3 linked regions of the Macaca fascicularis genome follow. The protein of the gene in region 2 purifies or fractionates together with the protein of the main gene of each other region. This does not show direct contact. Links are inferred from orthologs where the notes say so. Each region holds a gene or a part of one and is shown on either strand. Other genes may lie near its edges. The genes, in order: MAP1LC3A, KEAP1 and IKBKB.

Region 1 (9,489 bases), on a different chromosome or scaffold from region 2:
GTCTCGATCTCCTGACCTCGTGATCCGCCCGTCTCGGCCTCCCAAAGTGCTGGGATTACAGGCTTGAGCCACCGCGCCCGGCCACTTTTTTGTATTTTTTTGTAGAGATGGGGTTTCACCATAGTGTCCAGGCTGGTCTACAACTCCTGGGCTCAAGTGATCTGCCTGCCTTGGCCTCCCAAAGTGCTGTGATTACAGGTGTGGGCCACCACACCCGGCCTATTTTTTGTTGTTGTTGTTGTTGTTTTGTTTTTGTTTTCAGTTTTTTTTAAGACGGAGTTTCGCTCTTTTTGCCCAGGCTGGTGTGCAATGGCACAGTCTCGGCTCACTGCAACGTCCACCTCCCGGGTTCAAGCGATTCTCCTGCCTCAGCCTCCCAAGTGGCTGGGATTACAGGTGTCTGCCACTATGCCCAGCTAATATTGTATTTTTAGTACAGATGGGGTTTCACGAGGTTAGCCAGGCTGGTCTCGAACTCCTGACCTCAGGTGATCCACCCACCTCGACCTCCCAAAGTGCTGGGATTACAGGTGTGAGCCACCATGCCTGGCCTGTTTTCAGTATTTTTTGTTGTTTTTCTGAGACAGGGCCTCTGTCACTCAAACGATCCTCCCACTTCAGCTTCCTGAATAGTTGGGACTATAGCTGTGTGCCACCAAAGCCAGCTAATTTTTTTCTTTTCTTTTCTTTTTTTTGAGACAGTCTCACTCTTGTCACACAGGCTGGAGTGCAGTGGCGCAATCTCGGCTCACTGAAACCTCTGCCTCCTGGATTCAAGCAATTCTTGTGCCTCAGCCTCCCAAGTAGCTGAGATTACAGGATGTGCCACCACACCTAGCTAACTTCTATATTTTTAATAGAGACGGGGTTTTGCCATGTTGATCAGGCTGGTCTTGAGCTCCTGGCCTCAAATGATCTGCCCACCTCAGCCTCCCAAAGGGTTGGGATTACAGGCATGAGTCACTGCGCCTGGCCTAATTTTCTCATTTTTGTAGAAACCGGGTCTCACTATGTGGCCCAGGCTGGTCTCAAACTTCTGGGCTCAAGTGATTCTCCAACCTGGGCCTCCCAAAGTGCTGGGATTACACTATTACTCCTTTTTAAATTTCTTTGACACTCTGCTCATTGATTCTCTGTATTTATTATCTAAGTAATACATCTATGTAATAAGGCTATAAATCTGAATTTTTTTTTTAAGAAATGGGTCTTATTTTGTCACCAAGGCTGGAATGCAGAGGTGCAATCACAGCTCACTGCTGCCTTGAACTCTTGGGCTCAAGCAATTTTCCAGTCTGGGCCTCCCAAAGTGCTGGGATTACAGGTTTGAGCCACCACATCCAGCCTGGTATGGGCCCCCCTCCCAAGTTTTCTTAATATATGTATCCTCATTTTTTTTTAATCTAAATAATTTTTACTTATATATGAGTTCATATTTAGAACAGGTTTCAATTTCCACACAGTTGGAGCTTACATGGTTTTTGCCTGTGGCCAAAGAATATGGTTGAAACTGATTTGATATCTGTTGAGATTTGTCGTGCACCCTAGTAGTTGGGTCATTTTTGTAAATGTTCCTTCCGTGATTGAAAGTAATGTGTTGGTCCCACACAGGTCTGAAATTTAAATTTTAAAACTTAAAAAATTAACGTGTCAGGTTCAGGATTCTATTGGGCTTCACTGATCAGGATTAGCAACTGTATTAACATCCTCTATGTCCTTAGTTTTTTTGGTTGTTCCGTTTATTAGTTATTCAAATAGGTCTTATGTCTCCCACTATGATGGAGGACTTGGCAATTTCTCCTTGTATTCATATATATATATAGAGAGAGAGCAACATAGACAGAGTCTATATATAGACAGAGTCTTGCTTTGTCGCCCAGGCTGGAGGGCAGTGGCGCAATCTCGGCTCACTGCAACCTCCGCCTAGCAGGTTCAAGCAATTCTTGTGCCTCAGCCACCTGAGTAGTTGCGATGACAGGCGTGCACCACCACGCCCGGCTAATTTTTGTACTTTTAGTAGAGACAGAGTTTGCCACGTTGGCCAGGCTGGTCTTAAATTCCTGGCCTCAAGTGATCCGCCCACCTCGGCCTCCCAAAGTGCTGGGATTACTGGCATGAGCCACTGCACCCAGCCTATTTTCAGCCTTAAAAACCCTGGAACATAGAAGTTCAGAACTTCCCTCTCTTCACAGAGCTACTCGCATCATTTCATGGTGATCCTTTGTCCCCAATGTCTTCTGCCTGAAGGCCTATTTTGTCTGAGTGAATTTCTATAGGTACATATTTTGGTTAGTTTTTCTCTAGTACACCTTTTTCCATCATTTTACTTTTGGTGCCCTTAGATTTTAAATGTCCTCTTGTAAATAGCATAGAGCTGCATTTTATTTTTTCTTGGCCAATCTGGTCATCTGTGTTTTAAGAGGTGAACGTAAACCACATTTTCTACCTCTGGTTTTGTACTATATATTTACCATCCCTTTTACTTTGCTTCCTTTTTCTCCTTTTCTGGCGTCCATTATAGTTTGTATTCTTTTGATGATCCCTCTTAAATATCTGAAATACACACCTGACTTTACAAAGCCAGACAATGCTTAGTCTCTTTATCCCCCTCTCAAATCGAACTTCCTAAAACACCTTAACTCTGATTGCCCTCTCAGTCTCCCATGTTCTTCTGTCTCATGCATCTTGTTTCTGTGGCCCACAGATTATCCATTATTCATGTTGCATATTAAATACTTGTTTAGATTTACTGACATGTTTACTAATTTGCTCACCATTTTTCCATCTAATTTCTTCCTTTTGGGTTCCATGTCTTTGATACTGAAGTACATTCTTTAAAAATTATTTTGGCGGCTGGGCGCAGTGGCTCACGCCTGTAATCCCAGCACTTTGGGAGGCTGAGGCGGGCGCATCACGAGGTCAGGAGATCAAGACCATCCTGGCCAACATGGTGAAACCCCATCTCTACTAAAAACATAAAAAGTAGCTAGGCGTGGTGGCAGGCGCCTAATAATCCCAGCTCCTTAGGAGGCTGACTGAGGCAGGAGAATCGCTTGAACCAGGGAGGCGGAGGTTGCAGTAAGCTGAGATCGCACCACTCTAGCCTGGCGCAAGAACGAGACTCCCTTTCAAAAAAAAAAAAAGATGTTGATCTTCGGTCTGTGCCTTCTGCTCTGGATTTTAAGCATCATTTCTGGCAGCTCTCATTCAGGAACTGCCTCTGCAGGTCTTTCAGTGCTCGCCTGTGGAGCTCTGCTCCGGCCTGCGAGTTCTCCTGGCGTTGCCATCCGTGGCCTTTTCCTTTTAATTCTCCATCACCTGTCCTCTGGTAAGCTGCTTGCTATCAGCCTCCAGGTCCACGATTTCTCTTCTGTTGTCCTGCTCTGCCTTCTTGCCACATCCTCTGAGACCTGAATTTCGATAGCTCTACTCTTCAATTATATTATTCTTTTTCAAACCTGGGCGTTCATTTCTAGCGTCTTGCTCTATCCTGTGTCTGACTGTGCCTCCCGCACCTTCTCCCTTCTCTTGCCCTGAGCCCCCTTGAAGGCGCCGGGCCTTTGGCTCCCGCTGTTTCCCACGGTGCCCAGAACCGCGGGTCAGTCCTGACACAGACTCGGTGAGGGCAGGAAGTGGTGCCACGGGGCTGCAGCCTGGCCCACCCGCTCCATCGGCCCAGGGCGGCCCCACCGCTCTCCCGGCCTCACCAGAGTCGGGGCCACGGGAGAGGCTCCCGCGCTGCTCATGACGTCACGGGACTGTGACGCGCCCAGGAGCCCCGCCCCTTGTGTCCCGGGCCGGGGACCCAGGCTCTCTGCGCCGTGACGTCACGGGTCCGGGCGGGCGGGTTGTGCGTCGGCCCAATGGGAGCTGCGCGCCGGCCTCCCCTTTAAGGAATGTTGTGACCTGACGTCACCGGGCGAGTTACCTCCCGCAGCCGCCGCCGCCGTGCTCAGCGCGAGCGCCGGAGCCCTTGAGCGCGAGGCACGGAGCCCCCGGAGCCCCCAAACCGCAGCCACATCTCCGCGCCCCAGAGCCCCGGCCTGCGCGCCCAGCCGGGCCCGCGCGATGCCCTCCGACCGGCCTTTCAAACAGCGGCGGAGCTTCGGTGAGGCCCGGCAGGCGAGCTGTGAGCTCGGGGTAGGGGTGCCGGGGAGGGGGGGTGCCCGGCCGACCCAGACTGCCGCAGGTGACGTCAGCCCCGTGACGTCAGGCTTCGGCTGGACCCTCGGGCTGGGAGGCTGGCTCCGGCCTGGGCGGGGGCTGCCTGCTTCCCCACCACGATAGGTGCCAGGGGCTGTGGGGCCTGACGGCCCCGGGGGCGGGGGCTGGAGCTGGGGCGTGGCCGGGGGCCGCCCCTTGGGGACAGGCAGGCGGAGACGTGGGGAGGACCTGGGCCGGGCCGACCCGGCCTCACGGTCTGGCCGCTGTCCGCAGCCGACCGCTGTAAGGAGGTACAGCAGATCCGCGACCAGCACCCCAGCAAAATCCCGGTAAGTCCTGCGCCCCCAGCCCTGCCCCGGCCCCGCCTCGCGCGTCCCCGACACAACCCCCTGCCCGCCCGCCCTGCTCCCAGGTGATCATCGAGCGCTACAAGGGTGAGAAGCAGCTGCCCGTCCTGGACAAGACCAAGTTTCTGGTCCCGGACCATGTCAACATGAGCGAGTTGGTCAAGATCATCCGGTGCGTGGGCAGCCGCTGCCAGGTGGTGGCTTGGGTCGGGAAGGGAGACGGGTTCCCGCCGAGAAGGGGTCAGGGGTGATGGGACCGGTGGTGGACCCCTGTTCTGGGGCGGCTGGAAAGGTCAAGGTCGGGGCTGCAGTCGGTGCCGGGTCAGAGGTGACAGGTGGGGTGAGGATGGGTGTAAAAGGCTGGGAATCATTCTGGGGGTCAGGGCTACGTTGCCCCGTAGCCAAGCCCCTTACAGCCACATACTCTCCCGCCTGCCTCAGGCGCCGCCTGCAGCTGAACCCCACGCAGGCCTTCTTCCTGCTGGTGAACCAGCACAGCATGGTGAGCGTGTCCACGCCCATCGCGGACATCTACGAGCAGGAGAAAGACGAGGACGGCTTCCTCTACATGGTCTACGCTTCCCAGGAAACCTTCGGCTTCTGAGCCAGCAGTAGGGGGGTCGGCCTGGGAGTGGGGGGGGCCCGGTCAGGCCCTGCCCAGAGAGCTCCTGGTTCCTGAACTGAGCTGCCTCTGCCGTGGTGGGCTGGGCAGGCATGTGCCCCCCTAGTCAGAGGGCAACCCACCTACTCTGCCCCTGGGTGGATCCTGGGCCGGTTGTGTTAGGGTTGTCCCTCTGGGTGCTGGCTGGGATGGGGGAGGGTTGGGAGCAGCCCCCAGCACCCCGCTGTGTGGTTCATCTTTTTTTTAGGCCCCTGCCTGTCTGCCCATCTGCCCCTCACCCACCCAAGGCTCTGCCCACGCCTGGACCTGCCCACCCCTGAAAGACTGGCCCCTGGCTCCCCGCCCCTCGGTCTCCACATGGTGTATGGATCTGTGGTCATTGTCCCTCTGCAGAATAAAGATTGCTCAGGCCTGCCTGGCCCTGTGCCTCCAGCTGCTTGCTTGGGAGTGGGAAGGGTGCTGGTAGGGCTGTCTGCACCATCCCCGGGCTCTGGCGCACAGACTTGTGTTCTGTGGCCTCAGTGCTTGCTGTGGAAACCCACACCTGTGTGTAGTGTTCAGAACATTAGGGGCCACCCCTCTAGGAGTGCAATGCAGATGTGGTCTCAGGGTAGACTTCATAACAAAAAACATTTATTAAGTAGCTACAACCTAACAAGCCCTGCTCACCTGCCTCTTCTCCTTCCTGCCTGGGAGGGGGCTCCTTGGTGTGCAGAGCCACGAAGTGGGGGGGTCCAAGTTGGGGAGCTTCCAGTTCTTCCCCACAGGCCTTACTATCAGCCATGGGTCTCTTGGTACCAGAGACTTGTGACCCTGGACTCGAACCTCTTCTGCCCGAGCACTCGCCTGCTGGCAACTCTGACTGGAGGGCTTGGCCCAGCTTCTGGCCCCTCAGCCCCCTGAGGTCCACAAAGCCCTGTGCCAGCCAGGCCTACTTGAGCACAAGCATGGCCTCTGTGCCGTCCTTGGCGGTCAAGTAGAGGCCGTGTGTGAGGTAGTACTCCCGCCGCAGGAAGGCATAGAAGTAATCAGAGATGAGCAGGATCTGGGGGGAGAGAGAGGATATGAGGTGCTGCAGGGTATCTCCCCGTGAGCCCAGGATCCCTGAACTGCTAGCATGTGTTGGAAGACAGGAGAGCCCCTGCCTGGCTCTGGATCACAATCACTGGAGAGGCCCTGCCCAGGGCCCCCACCTCAGGGCCCAAACTTGACCCTGCAAGGTCTGTTGGCCTCTCAGAAGCTGTCCAGACTTCCCCGGCCCCCACCCATGGTCTACACCTCCATCACAGGCTTTGGTCTCAAATGCCAGCCTGGTGCCTGTGCAGCCAGAGGCCTCTGCCCCCTCTTCCCACAGCCACTTCCACCCCAGCCAGGTCCACATCAAACTCCTCACCTTCCCTCTGTCAAATACACTTCTCCCACTGGGCACCCATGCCCCCATCTTCCAGCCAAGTGCCCAGGCCATAAAATTGCCCTGACACTTCTCTCATACATCAAGCCACCATGACCTGTCAATTCTACCCCTTAAACTCAAATCCACCCTTTCGATCCAGCCCCACAGTCACTACTCTGGACAGAGCCACTGTCATCTCCTAAACAACAGCAAAGCTTGGTCCCTGGGCTCCCTGCTCTCAAACCCACGCCCACCCCATTCTTCCTGGCAGCCAGAGGGAGCTTTTCAAAACCTACATCTGATGGTGTTACTTCCAGTCTTCAAATCCTCCAAAGGCTTCCCATGCCTTAGGGGGAAGCTCGAACTCCCTGGTGCTCTGAGACCTTGCTAGGGTCCCTGCCCACCCTCTCCTGGCTCCACCTCACCCCACTGCAGGATCCTTACTGTTTCTTCTGCATGGAACGTTCTCTCCCCGTTCATCTAGTCGACAGCTGCTTACGCTTCAGGTCTCAGGATCACTTGCCCCCCAGATTAGGTCTTGGCCCCACTAATCTCTACTCAATAACAGACTCATCCAAAGCACAATTTTTCCTTCAGCTGACAGCCTGATTGTGCCTCCTCCCCTGGCCCAGGGCCTCCATCAGGGCAGGGTCTTCGAATGGTTCTGTCACTATGGTATCTCTGTGCCCAGCTCAGTCTGTCTGTCCCATTCCGGGCCACACGCAGAATCAAAGGGGGCCTAGAAGCTCAGCCCACTGTCTCTTCAAGGAGGCCCAGAAAGGAACAGGGATTTGCCGAGGGCCCTGTACACCAGACCCAGAGTCTGCGGTCTCGGTCAGCCCAAGCTTCCCAAGACCACTGGTCCCTGGAGCAGGTTGGGCAGGGCCCAGCCTCAGAGAAGGATGAGCGGATGGGCTCACACTGCAGACACTGCAGCTCTCAGGCACCTGGAGACCTCAGAGGATTGGCACCAACCACATGGCACAGATGGGGAGACTAAGGCACAGAGCACTTGGCTATGGTCTTGGGGCAAGACAGGTTGAGCTAAGCCTGGGATCTAGACCTCCAGACCCTGTCCTGGGCAGCTTCTCACTCACCTGAAGGTAACACAACAGCAGCTAAAGAGAGATCAGAGGCGCCTGGAGTTCAAGAAGGTGTCCTGTCACCAGCAGCTCTAATGGCCTCAGGACAAGTACCTGCCATTCTATCACCACAGAAGCCCATCTGGAAGGTTTAACAATCCTCATCTTCAACAGATGGGCAAACTGAGACTCAAAGTGTTCAATGGTTGGCCTAAGGCTGCACCTGGAGCACTGGACTAATGGCCATGGACCCAGAAAGGTGGTCTGCCTGGGGCCCAGATCCCTGAGGAGCACCAGATTGGTCAGTGTCAGAAAAGCAGACAGAGCTCAGGCAGCCCCTGAGGCCCGGCCCCCAGCTGCCCAGCTGGCAGCTCCAGGCTGGCCCATTGGGGGACAGCGATCACAGCAAAGGCTGACCTCATACCCTGCAGCCCTTTCTCACCCAGGCCCGAGATGCCATCTGGGCAGGAGGAGCCCAAAGCAGGGACTGAGCTCAGAGGCTGATCCCTGAACCAGGTCAGATGAGGGGCAGGTGCAGTCACAATCCGCAACAATCAAAACGAAGCAACTCCATGTCACACAATAATCATCTGGACAAGCAGGAGGAAGAAAAAGATGAGGTTATTAGATTGGACCAGATGAAACTGCCATTTTTGCAGATAAAAAAATGGTTGAATACAGGCAATTTCATATGATCCAACCTAATACAAAACGGAAAAGGACACACAGAAGAGTAGGCATATTATTTAGAAACACCAGCAGAAATAACAGGAAGAATTTAGGTAGCTATTCTTTTCCCCTATAAACCTGAACTCTGCAAACTACATACATGTATTCCACTGACAAAAATAAAACTTTGGCCAGGCGCAGTGGCTCACGCCTGTAATCCCACCAGTTTCGGAGGCCAAGGCGGGCAGATCACCTGAGGTCGGGAGTTCGAGACCAGTCTGACCAACATGGAGAAACCCCATCTCTACTAAAAATACAAAATTAGCTGGGCGTGGTGGTGCATGCCTGTAATCCCAGCTACTCAGGAGGCTGAGGCAGGAGAATCGTTTGAACCCGGGAGGCGGAGATGTGCCACTGCACTCCAGCCTGGGCAATAAGAGCGAAACTCCGTCTCAAAAATAAAAAATAAAACTTCAATTAAATCAGCCAATACATCAATGAATCAATACATCAATGCGGGGAGGAGATAAATATTCCTTCCAGAAGAATTCCAAACAATGTAGATAGTTATACCCCCTCCCAAAGAAGGAGCTTAATTCTTGTTCACTCTGCATCCCCTAAGCCTCGGGTGGTCTAGACTCGGTTACTCACTTCCTGCTGAGGATCAGAGAAAGGGAAAAGAGTAACTTCACAGTGGAGAAACCTGGCCAACACTATCTTAACCACGTGGTGGAGGTTAACATCAGCTTGAAATCACATGGCTAGCATGTACCCCCAATAGATGTGATTCCTTCTAAAAACCCACAACCACAGGATAATCCTAAGAAAAGCATCAGACAAACCTAAACTGGTGGACAAACCTAAATTGGGTGACATTCTACGAGATGCCTGGCTGGTGGTCCTCAACTGTCAAGGTCATGACAAGTCAGGAAAGACTAAAAACAAAAGCAGAAGACACTGAGGAGGTGTGACCTTAAGTGTAACGTGGACCCTTCAATGGGGTCCTGGCAGAGAAAGAGGATGTGACTGCAAAAATAGGAAATCCAAATCCATTCTAGTGTTTCAGACTAATAGTAATATATCAGGGTGTCTTAGTTTTGACAAACATATCATGGTAACATATAAAATGTTAACAACCTAGGCAACTAGGTGGGGGCTTACAGGAACTCTATCTCTCCAACTTTCCTATAAATCTAAAGTGATTCTAAAATAAAA
Region 2 (10,269 bases):
CCTTCCAAAGTGCTGGAATTATAGGCATGAGCCACTGCACCCAGGGCTGGTCTTAAAATCTTTTTTTTTTGAGATGGAGTCTCGCTCTGTCGCCCAGGCTGGAGTGCAGTGGCGCAATCTCTGCTCACCGCAAGCTCCGCCTCCCAGGTTTACACCATTCTCCTGCCTCAGTCTCCCGAGTAGCTGGAGTAGCTGGGACTACAGGCGCCCACCACTACGCCCGGCTAATTTTTTGTTTTTTAGTAGAGGCGGGGCGTCACCAAAGTGCTGGGATTATAGGCATGAGCCACTGAGCCAGGGCTTTTTTTTTTTTTGAGACAGAGTCTCGCTCTGTCACCCAGGCTGGAGTGCAATGGTGCGATCTCGGCTCACTGCAACCTCCACCTCCCCGGTTCAAGCGATTCTCCTGTCTCAGCCTCTCAAGTAGCAGGGACTATGCCACCACATATGCCACCACATCTGGCTAGTTTTTTTTTTGTATTTTTAATAGAGATGGGATTTCACCACATTGGGTCAGGCTGGTCTCAAACTCCTGACCTCAGGTGATCCACCCGCCTCAGCCTTCCAAAGTGCTGGGATTACAGGCATGAGCCACTGGGCCCTGCCCTCTCTTATCAATTTCTATAGATAATTTCCTTCAGAGAAACGAAAATGAAACCAAAAATGGTAAGGACATTGCGTGGACCAAAGAAAACATGACTAAGGTTCAGGCTTACAGCTTGCAACCTGTAATGGGTGTTCAATAAACATTTGCTGACTGTCCGAAAGGCTGGGCTGCCCCAGGATTTGGCTGCTTTTCACTGCACTCTGTCCCCACCTTTGACCCCAGAGAAACTAGGGAGCCCAGAGACACATGAAGACCTCACCTTCCCCAGCTGTTCACCAGTGTCCCCACACGCGTAGACAAGGAACTCAGAACCCCAGTTGTTTTTTAATTTTTTTTTTTTTTTTTGAAACTGAGTCTCGCTCTGTCGCGCAGGCTGGAGTGAGTGCAGTGGCTTGATCTCGGCTCACTGCAACCTCCGCCTCTCGGGTTCAAGTGATTCTCCTGCCTCAGCCTCCTGAGCAGCTGGGACTACAGGCGCGCACCACCAGGCCTGGCGAATTTTTATATTTTTAGTAGAGATGGGTTTTCGCTATGTTGGCCAGGCTGGTCTTGAACTCCTTACCTCAGCTGATCCACCCACCTCAGCCTCCCAAAATGCTGGGATTACAGGCGTGAGCCACCACGGCTGGCCTCAGTTTTTTTTTTTTGTTTTTTTTTAGACTGAGTTTCGCTCTCGTTGCCCAGGCTGGAGTGCAATGGTGCGATCTTGGCTCACAGCAACCTCCGCCTCCTGGGTTCAAGTGATTCTCCTGCCTCAGCCTCCCGACTAGCTGACATTACAGGCATGCACCACCATACCCGGCTAATTTTTTTGTATTTGTAGTAGAGACGGGGTTTCTCCATGTTGGTCAGTCTGGTCTCAAACTCCCATTCTCAGGTGATCCACCCGCCTCGGCCTCCCAAAGTGCTGGGATTACAGGCTTGAGCCACCGCGCCCGGCCCCCAGTTGTTTTTTGTTTATTTGTTTGTTTGTTTAGAGACAGGGTCTCATTATGTTGCCCGGGTTGGTCTTGAACTTTTGGCTTCAAGCAATCCCCCCACCTAGGCCCCCCAAACTGTGGGGACTACACCACCGTGCCCAGCCCAGAACCTCCTTTTCCTCCAGGTTCCTGCCTTCACATCTCAAGGGGAGACAGTGATGAGCACTCATCCATCCCTGGTCCTTCTCCTGACACTGCCCCCAGCCCCACCTCCCCGCTCACCTCCCCGAAATGCATGTAGATATACTCCCGGGCACGCTGGTGCAACTCCACACAGCCAATCTGCTCGGCGAAGTTGGCGATGCCGATGGCATTGCTGGGGTCCAGCTGCTGCACTAGGAAGTCACTGCAGGCACGGACAACGCTGTCGATCTGGTACATGACAGCGCCGTTCATGACGTGAAGGACACACTTCTCGCCCATGGAGATGGAGGCCGTGTAGGCGAATTCGATGAGGCGTTCCATGACCTTGGGGTGGATACCCTCAATGGACACCACCTCCATGCCCTGCTCCCGCAGTCCATTGGTGAACATGGCCTTGAAGACGGGGCTGGATGAGGCTAGCACCACCTTGTGGGCCATGAACTGGGCGGCAGGCGCGTCCTGGTACTTGACCTGCAGTGTGACGTCACACAGCTGCTGGCTGAGCCGCAACTCGTTCATGATGCCGAACGCCTGTTTGGTATGATCCTCCAGGGTATAGCTGAAGGTGCGGTTGCCATGCTGGGAGGGCGTCACCTCCGCCTTGCACTCAGTGGAGGCATACATCACCGCGTCCCCTGACCCCTCAGGGCACTGTGACCGCAGGGGCAGGAATCGGCTGCAGGCCCCAGCCCTGCTAGGCTTGGGATCTGGCTGCATGGGGTTCCAGAAGATAAGCAACACCACCACCTCTGGCACTCAGGGGCCTGGAGGGGAGAGAGCACAGGGCAGGGGGCACGGGTTGGGGCTGGGCCAGCACCTGCAGGGTCTCCTTTTGTAAGATAAAGCAATTCCTAGGTCAGTTTTCCTGCAGAGTAGGTGAAGCAGAGTCCATTTGCAAATTTGCAAACATCCCCCTGACCTGACCAGCCCAAGAGCCCATCTTAAAACATAGATGAGGTCATGTCTCTCCCCTGCTCTGGATCCTCCAATGCCTCCCACAGTACCTAGTAAAACTGAACTCCTCAACAGCCTGCAAAGCCCTACGCAATTAGCCCCTGCCACCTCTTCCCTTTGATCACTCTGTTTCAGTAATCTGGTGGCCTTTCCCTTTCTAGAGCATGTCGGGCTCATTCCTTCATTCGCCTCACCATTTGTTGGGCACCTACTGTATGCCAGGCACTGATCTGGGTGCTGAAGACACAGCAGTGAGCAAAACACACAAAAATCCTACCTGCTGGAGCTGACACCTGTGGGGAGGAACAATCATAAACTAAAATAAGCAAGACCTGGAAAATCAGCTTCATGAAGAAAATTACAACAGCATTGTGACAATGTGAGAATCAGGTACAGTTTTTTTTTTTTTTTTGAGATGGAGTCTCACTCTGTCACCCAGGCTGGAGTGCAGTGGCTCGATCTTGGCTCACTGCAACCTCTGCCTCCCGGGTTCAAGCGATCCTCCTGCCTCAGCCTCCCGAGTAGCTAGGACTACAGGCGCCCACCACCACGCCCAGCTAGTTTTTGTATTTTTAGTAGAGACTGGGTTTCACCATGTTGGCCAGGCTGGTCTCAAACTCCTGACCTCAAGTGATCCGCCTGCCTTGGCCTCCCAAAGTGCTGGCATTACAGGCGTAAGCCACCGTGCCTGGCCCTGGGTGCAGTTTTTAAAAATCTGACAGGCCAAGCTTCTTTGAGAAGGTGAGGTTAGAGCTGAGACAAGGATGAAAATTATCATAAAGTGGGAGGCTGTGGAGTAGTTTTCCAGGCAGAGGAAATAGCAAGTGCAGTGGCTCAGAGGCTGAGACAGTCAATCTGGAGAATTGAGAAGGAGTGCAGTGAGAGCTAAGGACTTAAGGAAGGGTTTCATGGAAACCCCTGGAGCCTGGAGGGCCAGGAGATGAGTTATGTGTTTTGTGTTTTGTTTTTCGAGACAGAGTCTCGCTCTGTTGCCCAGGCTGGAGTACAGTGGTGCGATCTTGGCTCACTGCAACCTCTGCCTTCCAGGTTCAAGATATTCTCAGTCCCGCGCGGTGGCTCACGCCTGTAATCCCAGCACTTTGGGAGGCCGAGGTGGGCGGATCACGAGGTCAGGAGATGGAGACCATTCTGGCTAACACGGTGAAACCTCGTCTCTACTAAAAAAATACAAAAAATTAGCCGGGCATGGCGGCGGGCGCCTGTAGTCCCAGCTACACGGGAGGCTGAGGCAGGAGAATGGTGTGAACCCGGGAGGCGGAGCTTGCAGTGAGCAGAGATCGCGCCACTGCACTCCAGCTTGGGCAACAGAACAAGACTTGGTCTCAAAAAAAAAAAAAAAAGGATATTCTCATACCTTGGCCTCCTGAGCAGCTGGGATTACAGGCACCAGCCACCACCATGGGCTAATTTTTTGTATTTTTAGTAGAGATGGGGTTTCACCATATTGGCCAGGGTGGTCTCGACCTCCTGGTCTCAAGTGATCCCCCTCCTCGACCTCCCAAAATGCTGGGATTACAGGCATAGGCTGCTGTGCGCAGACATGAGTTATGTTTTGAAAGGAGTGGGGGATCTCCAAGTGGTTCCCCACAAGTGGATCTGCAAGTTCTCACTCCCCTCTTTCTGGGGCTCCACTCAGAGTCCCCTCTTCCCTGTTCTATTGTCATCACTGAGCTTGTCAGGAACTGAAATGACCTCCTTTGCTTGTCTGTTGATCGACTGTCTCTCGTCCCCGGCCCCAGCGCCGCAAATGGCAGGGAACCCTATGTAGGTTGGCGTCGGGCCAACCCTCTCCTGTGCCTCCCGCCTGGGGCCTGGCACTGCGCAGGGGTCAGTACACGGGTGGTTGGCTAAATGCCCGTGCCACCGTGCCTGCCAGAGCGGCCTTCTCCACCCTCCCTGGGTGCCACTCGGCCCCCCCTCCGGTGCCAAGGCCCTGGGCTTGCGTCTTGGTCTTTGGCCAATCGGTCAACGATGCCCCTTGGGCACCGGGCACTTCCCCCACCCTACAAAGCGACAAGTGGGCGACTGCGCATGCCCCTCCTGAGCCGCCACCAGGCCCAGAGAGGCGAGGAAGTGACCCCGCCGCGGCGTCTCGGCTGCCAATCCCAGAACGCAGATTGAGCCCCCCAACGCCTCGGAGGCCCCGGGCCTCCGTCTGCTCCACGCCTCCGGGTTCTCTCGCTCGGTTTCCGCCGCTCCCGGGCCACCCCGAGAGTTGCGCCGTCCAACAAAAAGATTGGACCCAGGCCTCGCCCTCCTGGCCCTCCGAGTCCTGGTGGGGAACTCGGAGGCTCCCTGAGCCGTGGCGCCCGGTTTCCTGGTCTCCGGGCACGACCGCAGGGGCGCTCGCGGCCCGCGATGCCCGCAGCCCGGGTACATCCCGCCTCACTCACCCCGCCATGGCCGCGCTCCGGCTCCGCCTCCACTGCCGAGCCTCGGCGCCTCCATCGCTGCGCGTGGGGGAGGCGCGGAGCGCGCGCAGGTCACCATGACTAAGCAGAGCCGGGCGCCCGCCTTGTCACAATAAAAGTCCCCGGGCCCTGGCCTCGGGCGGTAGGGACCGCGGAGGGCCGCTCCCCAGCCCCCGCCCACGCCTGCGGTCGCCGAGCTGCGCGGCCACCACTGCTGCCAGCATGGCCGCGGGGCGGGGGCACGCGGCCCTGGGCGCGCTCAGCCGCGTGGTCCGAGTCGCGGGGAGTCTGAACCCCGAGTTCCAGACCCGCGCGTCCCGGCCCGCACCGGGGATGGGGTGGACACCCCTCCCCGTCGCTGCTGCCGGAGCGCTCACCTCGGCCACCGGGTCGCCTCCGTAGGGGGTCCCTCGGGGTGGGGATGTCCGGGGCGCGCAGGGGCTCCGGGTACGGTGATGCCACCCGCACACTGCGCTTCCGGGAAGCCCGGGGGTCCGCGGCCGGGTCCGGAAGATTCCTGCCTTACCTTGGCTGTAGGAGACCCGCGGGCGCCTCCGCCGTCGGGGGGCCTCGGCGCCAGGGCTGCGTGGCCTGCGGGGTCTCGGTTGTCGGTTGGGGAGAGGCCTCGGGACGCCCGAAAAGGAGGCGGGGAGAGGGCGGAGAGGGCGCGGCGGGGAAGGAGCGGCGATTCTCCCGCCCTTCCCGCAGGTGCCCGGCGCCCGTCGGCGAGGAGTGGGGCATCGGGCGGGGACGCACAGCCTGGCCCCCCTTCTCACTGTCTCTTCCATCTCCTGGTTTCCTCGCCGGACGTCTCCTGGCGGGGCTGCGCGCCACCACCTGCTATTCTTTTAACGACGCACAGCGCCTGCCTCGTGGTCTGGCGGCCACAGGATCTAGGGAAAATTGTCTACCTCGCTGGGTCTGCCTGTCTGCCTGCCTGCCTGCCTTCCTTCCTTCCTTCCTTCCTTCTTGCTTTCCTTCTTTCCTTCCTTCCTTCCTTGTTTTCCTTTCTCTCTCTCTCTCTCTCTCTCTCTTTTCCGTTAGAGACAAGGTCTCGCTCGGATCTGCACGCCCAGGCTGGAGTGCAGTAACGCCATCGCGGCTCACTGCAGCCTCGAGCTCCTGCCCTCAAGCGATCCTCCCACCTCAGCCTCCTGAGTAGCTGGGACCACAGACACGCGCCACCACAACCGGCCAATTTTTAGGTTTTTTTTTTTTTTTTTTTCTGTAGAGACGGGGGTCTCGCGATGTTGCCCAGGCTGGTCTTGAACACCTGGGTTTAAGAGATCCTCCATCGACCTCCCAAAGTTCTGGGATTATAGGTGTGAGGCGTTGGGTCCAGGCCCTGGGTTTTCCGTGTGTGTGTGCGCGTGTGTGCGTGTGTGTGTTTTTAATTGAGACGGAGTCTTGCACTGTCACCTGGGCTGGAGTGTAGTAGCTTGATCTTGGCTCACTGCAACCTCTGCCTCCCAGGTTCAAACAATTCTTCTGCCTCAGCCTCCCGAGTAGCTGGGATTACAGGTGCCCGCCACCATGCCCAGCTAATTTTTTGTATTTTTAGTACCGATGGGGTTTCACCATGTTGGCCAGGCTGGTTTCGAACTCCTGATCTCGTGATCCGCCCACCTCTACCTCCCAAAGTGTTGGGATTACAGGCGTGAGCCACCACGCTCGGCCTTCCTTGTCTTTATTTTTGATTTACTTCCTATCAAAAGGCGTGTGGCACCCGTCTTTAGGGGGGGTTCAAACCCCGAATCTGCCTCTTGCCAGTTCAGTGCCAGTAGGCGCTTACTTAGTTCTCTGTGGTTCAGTTTCCTCTCTGTAAAAGGTAGTAATATAATAGCACCTATCTACCAGATTATCATTAAGACTAAATGCGGGGCCGGGCGCGGTGGCTCATGCCTGTAATCCCAGCATTTTGGGAGACCGAGGTGGGCGGGTCATGAGGTCAGGAGATCGAGACCATCCTGGCTAAGACTATGAAACCCTGTCTCTACTAAAAATAAAAAAAAAAAAAACTAGCCGGGCGTGTTGGCGGGCGCCTGTAGTCTCAACTACACGGGAGTCTGAGGCAGGAGAATGGCGTGAACCCGGGAGACAGAGCGTGCAGTGAGCCGAGATCGCGCCACTGCATTCCAGCCTAGGCGACAGAGCGAGACTCAGACTCAAAATGAATAAATAAATAAATAAAATAACATAAACCTAAGTGTGAATACTAGCGCCCAAGAGATAGAAACCATTCCATTGCCATTTTTCATGACTGGGGATACTGATTTGTCATGTACACCGTTCATCATGTAACATTAACTTTTAAATAAATGTATGTAAGTTTATTTTATTTTATTTTATTTTATTTTATTTTATTTATTTATTTATTTTTGTTGTTGAGACGGAGTCTCGCTCTGTCGCCCGGGCTGGAGTGCAGTGGCCGGATCTCAGCTCACTGCAAGCTCCGCCTCCCGGGTTTACGCCATTCTCCTGCCTCAGCCTCCCGTGTAGCTGGGACTACAGGCGCCCGCCACCTCGCCCGGCTAATTTTTTGTATTTTTAGTAGAGACGGGGTTTCACCGTGTTAGCCAGGATGGTCTCGATCTCCTGACCTCGTGATCCGCCCGTCTCGGCCTCCCAAAGTGCTAGGATTAGAGGCTTGAGCCACCGCGCCCGGCCTGTAAGTTTATTTTAAAGAATTCATCTAGGCTGGGTGCGGTGGCTCACGCCTGTAATCCCAGCGCTTTGGGGGCCGAGGCAGGTGGATCACGAGGTCAGGAGTTCAAGACCAGCCTGGCCAACATGGTGAAACCCCATGTCTACTAAAAATACGAAAAATAGCAGGGCGTGGTGGCGGGCGCCTGTAATCCCAGCTACTCAGGAGGCTAAAGCAGATAACTGCTTGAACCCGGGAGGCAGAGGTTACAGTGAGCAGAGATCGCGCCACCACACCCCAGCCTGGGCAACAGAGTGAGACTCCCTCTCAAAAAAAGAAAAGAATTCGTCTAAATGTCATCTAAATTATCATTACTTTAAAAAGATAGAGAGGCCAGGCGCGGTGGCTCATGCTTGTAATCCCAGCACTTTGGTAGGCCAAGACGGGTGGATCACCTGAGGTCAGGAGTTCGAGACCAGCCTGACCAACATGGTGAGACCCCCCCCCCCCCCCCCCCGTCTCTACTAAATACAAAAAATCAACCGGGTGTAGTGGTGGGTAGGCAGAGGTTGCAGTGAGCCGAAATCCTGCCATTGCACTCCAGGCTGAACAACAGAGAGAGACTCCCTCTCAAAAGGGGAAAAAAAAAAAAAAGATGGGGTTTCGCCATGTAAGTGAATAATAAATGGAAACTCTAGGTCTCTGGAGCCTCCAGGGTGAATTTGAAAAACTGAACGTCCTGGCTCAGGTTCTGGAAGGAATCACGTGTAGGGCTATGTTAGAGTTACCCGGCTACCCGAAATCCTTGCTGCGTGTAGCTGCGTGTAGCTGCGTGTAGCTGCGTGTAGCTGCGTGTAGCTGCGTGTAGCTGCAGTCTGCAGTTCCAGACAGCTCCTCAGGGGGGCGCCCCAGATAGTCCGTGAAGACGTTGAGTGGCCAAGGTTGTAACCAGCACCCTCCTGGCACGTTTCAGAAAACAACCTTTCTAATATCTCTCAAAATCAAACCTACAGGTCCGGTGAGCCAGGTGCTTGTAGAGATTTATCCAAGGTGCACTCGCACACATACAGGAGGAAGCATGTGCACACACATTTATTGCATTATAATGCATATCATGGCAAAAAGACTGGATCCCATTCACATGTCCCTCTGTAGAGTCCTGGCTTAATCAGTGGTGGCACTTCCTTGCTAAGAAATACTATGCAGCCAGTTAAAAGGAGCAACACATTTACTGCATGGATATGTACCTAGATCTTCTATTTTTTCTTTTCTCTTTTTCTTTCTTTTTTTTTTTTTTTTTTTTTTTTTTTGGAGACGGAGTATCATACTGTCACCCAGGCTGGTGTGCAGTGGTGCGATCTCAGCTTGCTGCAACCTCCAAGTCCCAGGTTCAAGCTATTCTCCTACCTCAGCCTCCCGAGCAGCTAGGATTACAGGCTTGAGCCACCACGCCCGGCTAATTTTTTGTATTTTTAGTAGGGACAGCGTTTCACCATGTTGGTCAGTCTGGTCTTGAACTCCCGACCTCGTGATTCGCCTGCCTCGGCTTCCCAAAGTGCTGGGATTACTGACGTGAGCCACCTCACCCGGACTCCTCTTTTATTTTATTTATTTATCTTTTTTTTGAGACAGGGTCTTGCTCTGTCACCCAGGCTGGAGTGCGGTGGCACAATCATAGCTCACTTCAGCCTTGACCTCCTGGGCTCAAGTGATCCTGCTGCCCCAGCCTCCCAAGTAGCTGAGACTACAGTCACTCACTACCACACCCAGCTAACTTTTTCTTTTCCCCTGCTTTTTTTTCTTTCTTTTGTAGAGCTGGGGCTTCACCATGTTGCCCAGGCTGATCTCGAACTCCTGGGCTCAAGCAATCCTCCCTACTTGGCCTCCCAGAGTTCTGGGATTACAGGTGTAAGCCACCATGCCCCACTTATTATTATTTTTTTTTTTTTGAGACAGAGTCTGGCTCTGTCGCCCAGGCTGGAGTGCAGTGGCGTGATCTCGGCTCACTGCAAGCTCCGCCTCCTGGGTTGACGCCATTCTCCTGCCTCAGCCTCCAGAGTAGCTGGGACTACAGGCGCCCGCCACCTTGCCCAGCTAATTTTTTTTTGTATTTTTAGTAGAGGCGGGGTTTCACCATGTTAGCCAGGATGGTCTTGATCTCCTGACCTTGTGATCCGCCCGTCTCGGCCTCCCAAAGTGCTGGGATTACAGGCATGAGCCACCACACCCGGCCTTCTTTTTTTTTTTTTTTTTTTTTTTTTTTTAACAGGGTCTTGCTATCACCCAGGCTGGTATGCAGCAGTGCAATCACAGCTCATTGCAGCCTCGAACTCCTGGCTCAAGTGATCCTCCTGCCTCAGTCTCCCAAGTAACTGGGACTACAGGTGTATGCCACCACACTTAGCTAAGTTTTTTATTTTTTGTAGAGATAGTGTCTCACTATGTTGCCCAGGTTGGTCTCAAACTCCTGGGTTCAAGTGATCCTCCTGCTTCGGCCCTGCAAAGTGC
Region 3 (10,316 bases), on a different chromosome or scaffold from region 2:
GCAGAGTGGATGATTTGGATCACCTAGCACATATACAACGTCAGGCACTTGCTACAGAAGAACTGAAGGAACTCCAAGGCCAGACCCAACCCTGGCTGACCAGGAATGCAGGGTCCTGACGACACTTACTCTCGTCAGACAGGAAGGGCGGCACAGGAGCCGGCCTGGAGAGGCCTGGAGAAACTCACCGGGAGAACCAGTTCCCACGGAACAAAGTCATCCCAAACAGGTTTGTGGAGGAGGTAGCCTAGAGTTCATCCTGGAGGAACATGCAGGAGAGGGAGGCCTGTTCGACGAGAGGGCTCAGCACCCGAACCAGGGGCAGCCAAGGGGAGGAATGACAGAGAGGCAGGTGCAAACAGACTGCATGGGGTTCAGCCGGCAGGAGGAGGAAGCTGGCTTTTGGCTTTTTAAAAGTACATAACAGGCCAGGCGCCTGTTAGTGGCTCATGCCTGTAATCCCAACACTTTGGGAGGCCAACATGGACAGATCACTTGAGGTCAAGAGTTTGAGAACAGCATGGCCAACATGGTGAAACCCTGTCTCTACTAAAAATACAAAAACTAGGCTGGGCACAGTGGCTCATCCCTGTAATTCCAGCACTTTGGGAGGCCGAGGCGGGTGGATTGCCTGAGATTGGGAGTTCAAGACCAGCCTGGACAGCATGGTGAAACCCCGTGTCTACTAAAAATATAAAAACTAGCCGGGTGTGGTGGCAGGTGCCTGTAATCCCAACTACTTGGGAAGCTGAAGCAGGAAAATCGCTTGAACCCAGGAGGCGGAGGTTGCAGTGAGCCGAGATCGCGCCAACGCACTCCAGCCTGGGCAACAGTTTGTGACTCCGTCACACACACAAAAAAGAAAAATTAGCTGGGTGTAGCCAGGTGTGGTAGCTTATGCCTGTAATCCTAGCACTTTGGGAGGCCGAGGTGGGCAGATCGCAAAGTCACGAGATCGAGACCATCCTGGCTAACACGGTGAAACCCCATCTCTACCAAAAATACATAAAAAATTAGCCAGGCATGGTGGCAGGTGCCTATAGTCCCAGCTACTCGGGAGGCTGAGGCAGGAGAATGGCATGATCCCGGGAGACGGAGCTTGCAGTGAGCCAAGATCACGCTACTACACTCCAGCCTGGGTGATAGAGCAAGACTCCGTCTCAAAAAAAAAAAAAATTAGCCGGTCATGATGGCGCTGCCTGTAATCCCAGCTACTCAGGAGGCTGAGGCAGGAGAATCGCTTGAACCCAGGAGATGGAGGCTGCAGTGACCCCAGATCACACCTGTCTCAGCTGAGCGTGAGACTGTCTCAAAAAAAAAAAAAAAAAAAAAAGAAAACATGGGAAGTGCTTCAGGGTCTGGGAAAAGATTTTATGGATAAGCACAGTTAACAGAGGCAAAAGTAGACAAATGAGATTACATCAAACTAAAAAGCTTCTGCACGGCAAAAGAAAAAACAGAGTAAACCTATGGAACCTGTGGAGACAACCTATGAAATAGGAGAAATTGTTTGCAAACTATCCATCCAACAAGGGATTAATATCAAGAATATGCAAGGAACTCAAACAACTCAACAGCAAAATAATAAATCATCCAATTTTTAAAATGGGCAAATGATTTGAAGAGGAATTTCTCAAAGACTTACAGATGGTCAACAAGTATATGATAAAATGTTCAATATCACTAATCATCAGACAAATGCAAATCAAAACCACAATGAGATGTCATCTCACCACAGTTAAAATGGCTATTATCAGAAAGACAAAAAAGAACAAATGAAGGCAAGGATGTGGAGAAAGGGAAACTCTATACACTATTGGTGGGAATGTAAATTAGCACAGCCATTATGGAAAATAGTATGGCGGTTCCTTGAAAAACTACAAATAAGGCTAGCGCAGTGGCTCACGCCTTAGTTTCAACAGGTTGAGAGGCTGAGGCAGGCAGATCACCTGAGGTCAGGAGTTCGAGACCAGCCTGGCCAAAATGGCAAAACCCTGTCTCTACTAAAAACATAAAAATTAGCCGGGTGTGGTGGCACACACCTGTAATCCCAGCTACTTGGAGGCTGAAGCAGGAGAACTGCTTGAACCCAGGAGGCAGAGGTTGCAGTGAGCCGAGATCATGTCACTGCACTCCAGCCTGGGTGACAGAGCCTGAGACCAGCCTCCGTCTCAAAAAAAAAAGAAAAACTATAAATAGAATTACCATATGATCCAGCAATCCCACTAGTGGGTATCTATCCAAAGGAAAGGAAATCAGTTTATCAAAGAGATATTGGCACCCTCATGTTTACTGCAGCACTATTCACAATGGCCAAAATATGAAATCAACCTAAATGTCAACCTAATGTCCATCAATGAACAAATGAATAAAGAAAATGTAGTACACAGACACAATGGACTCTCTTATTCAGCCATAAAAAAGAACGAAGTCCTGTCATCTGTGGCAACATGGATGAGCCTGGAGGGCATTACATTAAGGGAATTAAGCCAGGCCCAGAGAGGTAAATACCGCATGTTCTCACTCATCTGTGGGAGCTAATAAAAAACAGATCTCAGTTGGTTAAAATCAGTAGGCTGACACCTGGGATTACCAGCACTTTGAGAGGCTGAGGTGGGAGGATCACTTGTGTCCAGGAATTCGAGACCAGCCTGGGCAACAGAGACCTCCTATCTACAAAAACACAAAAAATCAGCCGGGCGTGGTGACACATACCTGCAGTCCCAGCTACTCAGGAGGTTGAGGCAGAAGGATCATTTGAGCCCAGGAGGTCAAGGCTGCAGTGACCCATGATGGCACCACTGCTCTCAGCCTGGATGACAGATTGAGACCCTGTCTCCAAAGAAATTAAAAATTAAAAAAAAAAAAAGGCCAGGCATGGTGGCTCATGCCTGTAATCCCAGCATTTTGGGAGGCCGAGGCAGGCAGATCGCCTGAAGTCAGGAGTTCGAGACCAGCCTGGCCAACATGGTGAAACCCTATCTCTACTAAAAACACAAAAATTAGCCAGGTGTGGTGGTGCACGGCTGTAATCACAGCTACTTGGGAGGCTGAGACTGGAGAATCACTTGAACCCAGGATATGCCGGTTGCAGTGAGCTGAGATTGTGCCACTGCACTTCAGCTTGGGCAACAGAGCGAGACTCCATCTCAAAAAAAAAAAAAACTGATCTCAGCCAGCCTCGGTGGTTCACACCTGTAATCCCAATACTTTGGCAGGCTGAGGCGGGGGGGGATCACCTAAGTTCAGGAGTTCAAGACCAGCCTGGCCAACATGGTGAAACCCCATCTCTACTAAAAATACAAAAATTAGCCAGGTGTGGTGGCAGGCACCTGTAATCTCAGCTACTCGGGAGTCTGAGGCAGGAGAATTGCTTGAACCTGGGAGGCAGAGGTTGCAGTGAGCCAAGATCGCGCCATTGCACTCCAGCCTGGATGACAAGAGCAAAACTCCATCTCAAAAACACAACAACAACAACAAAAGACTGATCTCACAGAAGTAGAAAGTAGAACAGTGGTCACCAGAGGCAGGAAAGGGTGAGGGTGTGGGGGCTGGGGTGTGGAGGGGAATAGGGAGGGACTGGTTAATGGGTACAAAATTATAGTTAGGTAGAATAAGTTATAGTATTCTATAGAACAACAGGGTGACTACAGTGAATAAAACTTTATTATACATTTCAGGCCGGACGCAGTGGCTCACGCTTGTATTCCAAGCACTTTGGGCAGCTGAGGTGGGCGGAACACCTGAGGTCAGGAGTTCGAGACCAGCCCAGCCAACATGGTTAAACCCCATTTCTACTAAAAATACAATAATTAGCCGGGCATGGTGGTGCACACCTGTAATTCCAGGTACTCAGGAGGCTGAGGCAGGATAATCACTTGAACTCGAGAGGCGGAGGTTGCAGTGAGCCAAGATCGCACCACTGCACTCCAGCCTGGGCAACAGTGCTAGACTCCATCTCCGGGAAAAAAAAAAAAAAATTATTGTGTATTTCAAAATAGCCAGAAGAAAGAATTTTGACTGTTTCCAACAAAAAGGATAAGTGTTTCAAGTGATGAATATGCCAATTACCCTGATTTGATCATTACACATTAGGTGTCAAAATATCACACTGTCCCCCATAAATATGTAACAATTATTATGTGTCAATTAAAAATAAAAACAGGCCAGGTTCAATGACTCATGGCTGTAATCCCAGCACTTTGAGAGGCCAAGGCAGGAAGATCACTTGAGGCCAGGGATTCTAGACTAGCCTGGACATTGAGAGACCACCATCACTACAAAAAATAAAAAAAAAAAAACCTCAGCTGAGGCCATGTCCCATGGCTCAGGCCTGTAATCCCAACATTTTGGGAGGCAAAGGCGGGAAGACTGCCTGAGGACGCGAGTTCGAGACAAGCCTGGGCAACATAGCAAGACCCCATCTCTACAAAATTAAAATAATTCTCACTTTCATGTGGATCTGCTTATTTTGTACCGTGCAATACTGGGAAGACATCATAATTGGCAAATATTATAAATACTTTTTTTTTTTTTTGAGACAGGGTCTCATTTTGTAGCCCAGGCTGGAATGCAGTGACACTGTCTCAGCTCACTGAAACCTCCGCCTCCTGGGTTCAAGCGATTCTCCTGCCTCAGCCTCCTGAGTAGCTGAAGTTACAGGCACGTACCACCACAGCAGCTAATTTTGTATTTTTAGTAGAGATGAGGTTTCACCATGTTGGCCAGGCTGGTCTCAAACTCCTGACCTCAAGTGATCCTCCCTCCTAGGCCTCCCAAAGTGCTGGGATTACAGGCGTGAGCCAATGTACCTGACATTTTAAATAATTTCTAAAAAATGGTTTTGAAACAAGGTCTCCCTCTGTCACCCAGGCTAGAGTGCAGTGGCACAATCATAGCTCACTACAGCCTCAAACTCCTGGGCAAGAAATCCTCCCACATCAGCCTCCAATGTAGTGGGACTACAGGTACGCACCATGGCTGCCTAATTTTTTTTTTTTTTTTTTTTTTTTTTTTTGAGATGGAGTCTCAATCTGTTGCCCAGGCTGGAGTGCAGCAGCGCAATCTCCGCTCACTGCAACCTCCGCCTCCTGGGTTCAAGCGATTCTCCTGCCTCAGCCTCCCAAGTAGCTGGGACTACAGGCACGTCCCACCAAGCCTGGCTAATTCTTTGTATTTTTAGTAGAGATGGGGTTTCACGGTGTTAGCCAAGATGGTCTCTATCTCCTGACCACGTGATCCGCCTGCCTCAGCCTCCCAAAGTGCTGAGATTACAGGTGTAAGCCACCACGCCCAGCTGGCTGCCTAATTTTTAAAACTTTTTTGTAGAGACGAGGTCTTGCTATGTTGCCCAGGCTGTTCTTGAACTCCTGGCTTCAAGGAATTAAAATATTTTAAACTATTTAATTATCCTCATCCTTTAAATTTTCCTATTTCTGTATGTTTTATAACATATATCAGTATATATTAGTACATGATATTCTACTGTAACCATATATATATATAAAATACAGACTAAGAGCTTATCTTTATTTTACTGTTTATTTAGGTGACATAGTCAATAAAGCTTGGAGACCACTAACCTGGAGTCAGCTCAGAAGTCCTGAAGCCCTCTTCCCAGTCCCCTATTCACTGTCCCAAGATGACCAAAGCCAAAGGTGAGCCCTTGGCCCAGTAGGATCAGAGAAAGTGGAGGCAGTGAGGAGGGAGCCTGGCTTCCCACCCCTCCCCAAGCTGCACAGAGGGCCTACCTGATTGTGCCATCGGATGACATTTCCAAATCCCCCTGTCCCAAGGCGCTCTTTCATTTCCCAGGCCCCACATGTCTGGGTTGTCAGGGAAGGTGACCAGCTCATACTGATGTCGTGCTAACTCTGTAAGCAATTTGGGATGGGGAAAAAAGGTTAGGATTAAGAAAAAAAAATGGAGTTCAAAGAGATGGAGAAGGCAAGAGATACCACTGCTCTCGAATGGGAGAGAAGAAAAATACAACTGGTTTTTTACTTTGTAAAGAAACTAATGTGTTTGGTTTGTCCAAACTTTGTGGCAAACTTTTGTCCCTCTCACCCTCCCCCATCCGGTTGCTGTGGCATCAGGCAGGGAAGAAAGTCACCGAGGGAGGCGATGTCCACGCCCCTGCCCCAGCGAGGGGATCCCCGGCGGACTCCACCAGGGGCGCCCGGGCCTGCCCGCCTTCTGCCCGAGGTGGCAGGGACAGAACCTACTTCTGAGCGTCCCCTCGGTCACGTGTTTCTTTACAACGTTCCCATAAATCGCAGGTTTCCCTCAAAGCCACCCACCCCCAAGAAGCCATCCCAGCCAGGGCTGTTTCTCCCGGCTTCCCGAACTCCAATCCGCACGAGTGAAACCCTCCCCAGTCCGCAAGCTGCGACTTTCCAGCGGCACAGAGGGGTCTTCTGGGCCTTGCAGGCAGCGGAGCGGCGGGGCCTGCAGGTGGCACCCGGGCCGCACCCGCGAGGGGGACTCACCTGTCGGCAGGGACGCGGGGCAGGGGGAGGGCTCCCCGGGGCGGGGGAGGCGGGGCTGGGGCGGCCGGACCCTGGGCTCTGATACCCCTCTGAAAACATTAAAATGCGGGAATCTTAACGCGGGCAGCGCGGCGCGACTTCCTCAAACACTTCCTGCTCTGACATCACTGAGCACGTGGGCCGCGGCCGCTCTTAAAGTGGCCGCGAGGGGCGCGAGGCTGACCAGGTCCGGATGCTGCGAGCGCCGCGGGCCAGGTGGGCCTGTCCCGGGACCCGCAACCGGGCGACTTCCCGGGGGCGGGGGTGGCGTGTGGCCTCTAGAATAAACTGAGGGAAAGTGGACAGACTGTGCTCACCGATTTAAAAGAACAGCCCTGAAATGACCCCCGTTACGCCCTGTTCTCTTTAGACAAGTGACTTCCACCTGGAGCCGTTTCTGGGCCCGGGCATGGGGATTTCCTCACCCGGCCGCCTAGGCTTTCACCTCGGTGGAATTTCCCGCGCCCCTGCTGGGATGATTTAGGGACTGTTGGCTATAACTGCCCTTGCCGCCCGCCCTACTGCGGGCGCTCCCCTGTCTGTGGGGGGTGCTTGGCTGGGTGTGGAGAAGGATCAATCACAGCTGACTCCTCAGAGGTGACAGCCCCCGCCCCCTTAAAAATAAGAAAAGACCTAGAAGTGTGAAGCCAAACTGCAGCCCCACCCCCAGTGACAGGAGGAAACCGCGAGGCGCACAGCCTAAGGTTCATCATTCATCTCCTTCTGCTTGGAGTCAGAATGTCCTCCCTGCTGAGTTCCTCCGTTTTGTGGCATTACATTAGTGGACAAAGGAGGTGTGTGTGTGTGTTGCTATATTTTATTCAAGCAGGAAAAAACTACCAAAGGAACCTGAAGATGATAATAATAGCTCACATCTATAGAGTGCTTACACAGTGCAGGGCTCTGTTCTAAATCTCTGAACTTAGATTTCCTTACTCAATCCTCAGGGCAACCCTGTAAATTGGACAATACTGCATTATTATTATTATTATTATTATTATTTATTATTATTATTATTATTTCGCTCTGTCACCCAGGCTGGAGTGCAGTGGTGTGATCACAGCTCACTGCAGCCTCCAACTCTTGTGCTCAAATGATTCTCCTGACTACAGGTGCATGGCCGCCATACCTGGTGGCGGGGGTCTCACTCACTGAGTTGCCCAGGCTAGTCTCGAACTCCTGGGCTCAAGGGATCCAGCCGCCTGGACCTCCCAAAGTGTTGGAATTACAGGTGTAAGCCACCGCACCTGGTCTGCATTATTATTATTTCCAAGGCACAGGGCTGCTACGTAGATGAACTGATACTCAAACTCTAGCAACTGGTTCCCGGGTTCTAAATGGGTGGTTAAAAGTAGCATGTTAAGTTCAGAGGGAGGCAAACTGGATTTTGAATTCAGATACTGCTGTTGACTACCTCTGAGGCACTGGGGCTGGTTTGTTAAACACTCTGAGCATCTATTTCCTCTTTTAAAATTTAGGCAGTATTAGGTTGAATTGCATTTAATTGTCATTTTTTGGAAATTGAAAACAGCCAAAACATCAGTGACAAAGATCAGCAGTTTCATCTGCTTCACTGTAATAGCAGGGGGACAGGCGGGCTCACAGAAAGTCATAGAAAGGAGGCCACCCCAGAGTTGTTGTGAGGGACAAATGAGATATTGATAGCAGCAGTGCCTGACAGCCCTGGGGTTGAAGTTAACTCAGGGACAGATCTCAACCCAAACATAGGGGTCAGTGGTGTCCAGGGCTGTGCTAGGCAAGCTGGCTGCTCTGTTTCTTTTCCCTCCCCCTCCCCTCCCCTCACCTCCCCTCCCCTCTCCTCTTTCTTTTTCTTTCTCTCTCTCCTTTCCTTTTCCTTCCTTCCTTCCTTCCTTCCTTCCTTCCTTCCTTCCTTCCTTCCTTCCTTCCTTCCTTCCCCCTCCCCTCCCTCCCATCCCCTCCCCTCCCTTCCAGGCTACTTAGTTTCTTTCTCCCTTCCCCTTCCCCTTCCCTTTCCCCTTCCCTTCCCTACCTTTCCTCCTTCCTTTCTTTCCTTTCCCTTTCCTCCCCTCCCCTCTTCTCTCCTCTCCTTTCTCTTTTTCTTTCTCTTTCTCGTTCTCTCTTTTCCTTGCTTCTTTCCTTCCTGCATGCATGCCTGCCTGCCTGCCTTCCTCCTCCCCCCTCCCCTCCCCTCCCCTTCCCTTCTCTTCCCGTCCTGGCTACTTAGTTTCTTTCTTTTCTTTCCTTCCCTTCCCTTTCCTTCCTTCCTTTCTCTCTTTCTTTCTCTTTCTCTTTCTTTCTCCTTCCTTTCTTCTTTCCTTTCCTTTCCTCCCTTCCCCTCCCCTCTCCTCTCTTCCCTTCCCCTCCCCTCCCCTTCCCTTTCTTTCTTCCTTTCCTTTCCTTTTCTTTATTTTTTCTTTCTTGACAGGGCCTCTCTCTATCGCCCACTTTGGAGTGTAGTGGCAGGATGCTCACTGCAGCCTTGACCTCCTGGGTTCAAGGGGTCCTCCCACCTTAGCCTCCCCACTACCTGGGATTACAGGCACACGCCACCATGACCAGCTAATTTTTAAATTTTATTTTGTTGAGACGAGGTCTCACTATGTTGCTCAGAGTTGGCTCAAACTCCTGGCCTCAAAGCAATCCTCCCACCTTGGCCTCCTAAAGTGCAGGGATTACAGGTGTGAGCCACCGCTCCTGACCTGGCATTTCTTGATTACTCCCAGCTAAATGGCAAGCTCAGCCTCAAGGCTGGAAGCAACAGGAACATGAGTAAATAGTTGTAACACAAGTAGAATAGTGCCTGCATTGTCTAAATGCAATATAAGTGTTTGCTTAATAAGTAACTTTTTTAAATAAAATATGTATTGGCCAGGTGAGGTGGCTCATGCCTGTAATCCCAGCACTTTGGGAGGCTGAGGTAGGCAGATCACTTGAAGTCAGGAATTTGAGACCAGCCTGGCCAACATGGTGAAACCCTGTCTCTATGAAAAATACAAAAATTAGCTGGGCGTGGTGGCGAGTGCCTGTAATCCCAGCTACTTGGGAGACTGAGGCAGAAGAATTGCTCGAACCCAGGAGTTGGAGGTTGCAGTAAGTGGAGATCGCACCAGTGCACTATAGCATGGGCAACAGAGCTAGACTCCATCTCGGGAAAAAAAAAAAAAAATTAGGCCGGGTGCAGTGACTCACCCCTGTAATCCCAGCATTTTGGGAGGCCGAGGCAGGCAGATCACCTGAGGTCATGAGTTCAAGACTAGCCTGGCCAACATAGTGAAACCCCGTCTCTACTAAAAATACAAAAATTAGGCCAGGCACAGTGGCTTACACCTGTAATGCCAGCACTTTGGAGGCCGAGGTGGGTGGATCATGAGGTCAGGAGATCAAGACCTTCCTGGCTGACATGGTGAAACCCCATCTCTACTAAAAATACAAAAAAAAAAAAAAAATTAGCTGGGCATGCTGGTGCGTGCCTATAATCCAAGCTACTTGGGAGGCTGAGGTAGGAGAATCGCTTGAACCCAGAAAGCAGAGGTTACTGTGAGCTGAGATCGTGCCATTGCACTCTAGCCTGGGCGATGAGGGAAACTCCGTCTCAAAAAAAAAAGAAAAAAAAATTATTCAGCATCTGTATGTGCTGGGCACTGTGGAGAGTCTATTTCCAGTACCATGTCATAAAAAAGTTCTCTTTAATCCTATCATCTCTGAAAAACACTGTCCCTGAGAAACTTACCGAGACATCCGCTAATATGCCAAAAGTTTACTCTGCGCTCCTGTAATTTGAATCTTCATTTTGCTCAGCTCAAAATA

Evidence for each region.
Region 1: the proteins of KEAP1 (region 2) and MAP1LC3A purify together in Homo sapiens (affinity purification with mass spectrometry; 3 studies listed by BioGRID and IntAct, with this or other methods). This does not show direct contact. The link is inferred for Macaca fascicularis from reciprocal best matches to the Homo sapiens genes KEAP1 and MAP1LC3A.
Region 3: the proteins of KEAP1 (region 2) and IKBKB purify together in Homo sapiens (affinity purification with western blotting; 7 studies listed by BioGRID and IntAct, with this or other methods). This does not show direct contact. The link is inferred for Macaca fascicularis from reciprocal best matches to the Homo sapiens genes KEAP1 and IKBKB.

Annotation. Positions count from the first base shown.
Region 1 is NC_088384.1:90,595,769-90,605,257, forward strand, and holds MAP1LC3A (microtubule-associated protein 1 light chain 3 alpha), read left to right. Parts: upstream 1-3,914; 5' UTR 3,915-4,065; coding exon 4,066-4,126; intron 4,127-4,434; coding exon 4,435-4,490; intron 4,491-4,573; coding exon 4,574-4,680; intron 4,681-4,949; coding exon 4,950-5,112; 3' UTR 5,113-5,550; downstream 5,551-9,489. Other genes in the region: PIGU (phosphatidylinositol glycan anchor biosynthesis class U protein), read right to left, coding at 6,062-6,175. UniProt on the Homo sapiens protein: Ubiquitin-like modifier involved in formation of autophagosomal vacuoles (autophagosomes). While LC3s are involved in elongation of the phagophore membrane, the GABARAP/GATE-16 subfamily is essential for a later stage in autophagosome maturation.
Region 2 is NC_088393.1:11,055,862-11,066,130, forward strand, and holds the start of KEAP1 (kelch-like ECH-associated protein 1), read right to left. Parts: upstream 5,934-10,269; 5' UTR 5,495-5,933; intron 5,131-5,494; exon of another isoform or gene 5,100-5,130; intron 2,496-5,099; 5' UTR 2,449-2,495; coding exon 1,810-2,448; intron 1-1,809. UniProt on the Homo sapiens protein: Substrate-specific adapter of a BCR (BTB-CUL3-RBX1) E3 ubiquitin ligase complex that regulates the response to oxidative stress by targeting NFE2L2/NRF2 for ubiquitination.
Region 3 is NC_088382.1:45,784,974-45,795,289, reverse strand, and holds the start of IKBKB (inhibitor of nuclear factor kappa-B kinase subunit beta), read right to left. Parts: upstream 6,658-10,316; 5' UTR 6,300-6,657; intron 5,874-6,299; 5' UTR 5,856-5,873; coding exon 5,751-5,855; intron 3,959-5,750; exon of another isoform or gene 3,837-3,958; intron 1-3,836.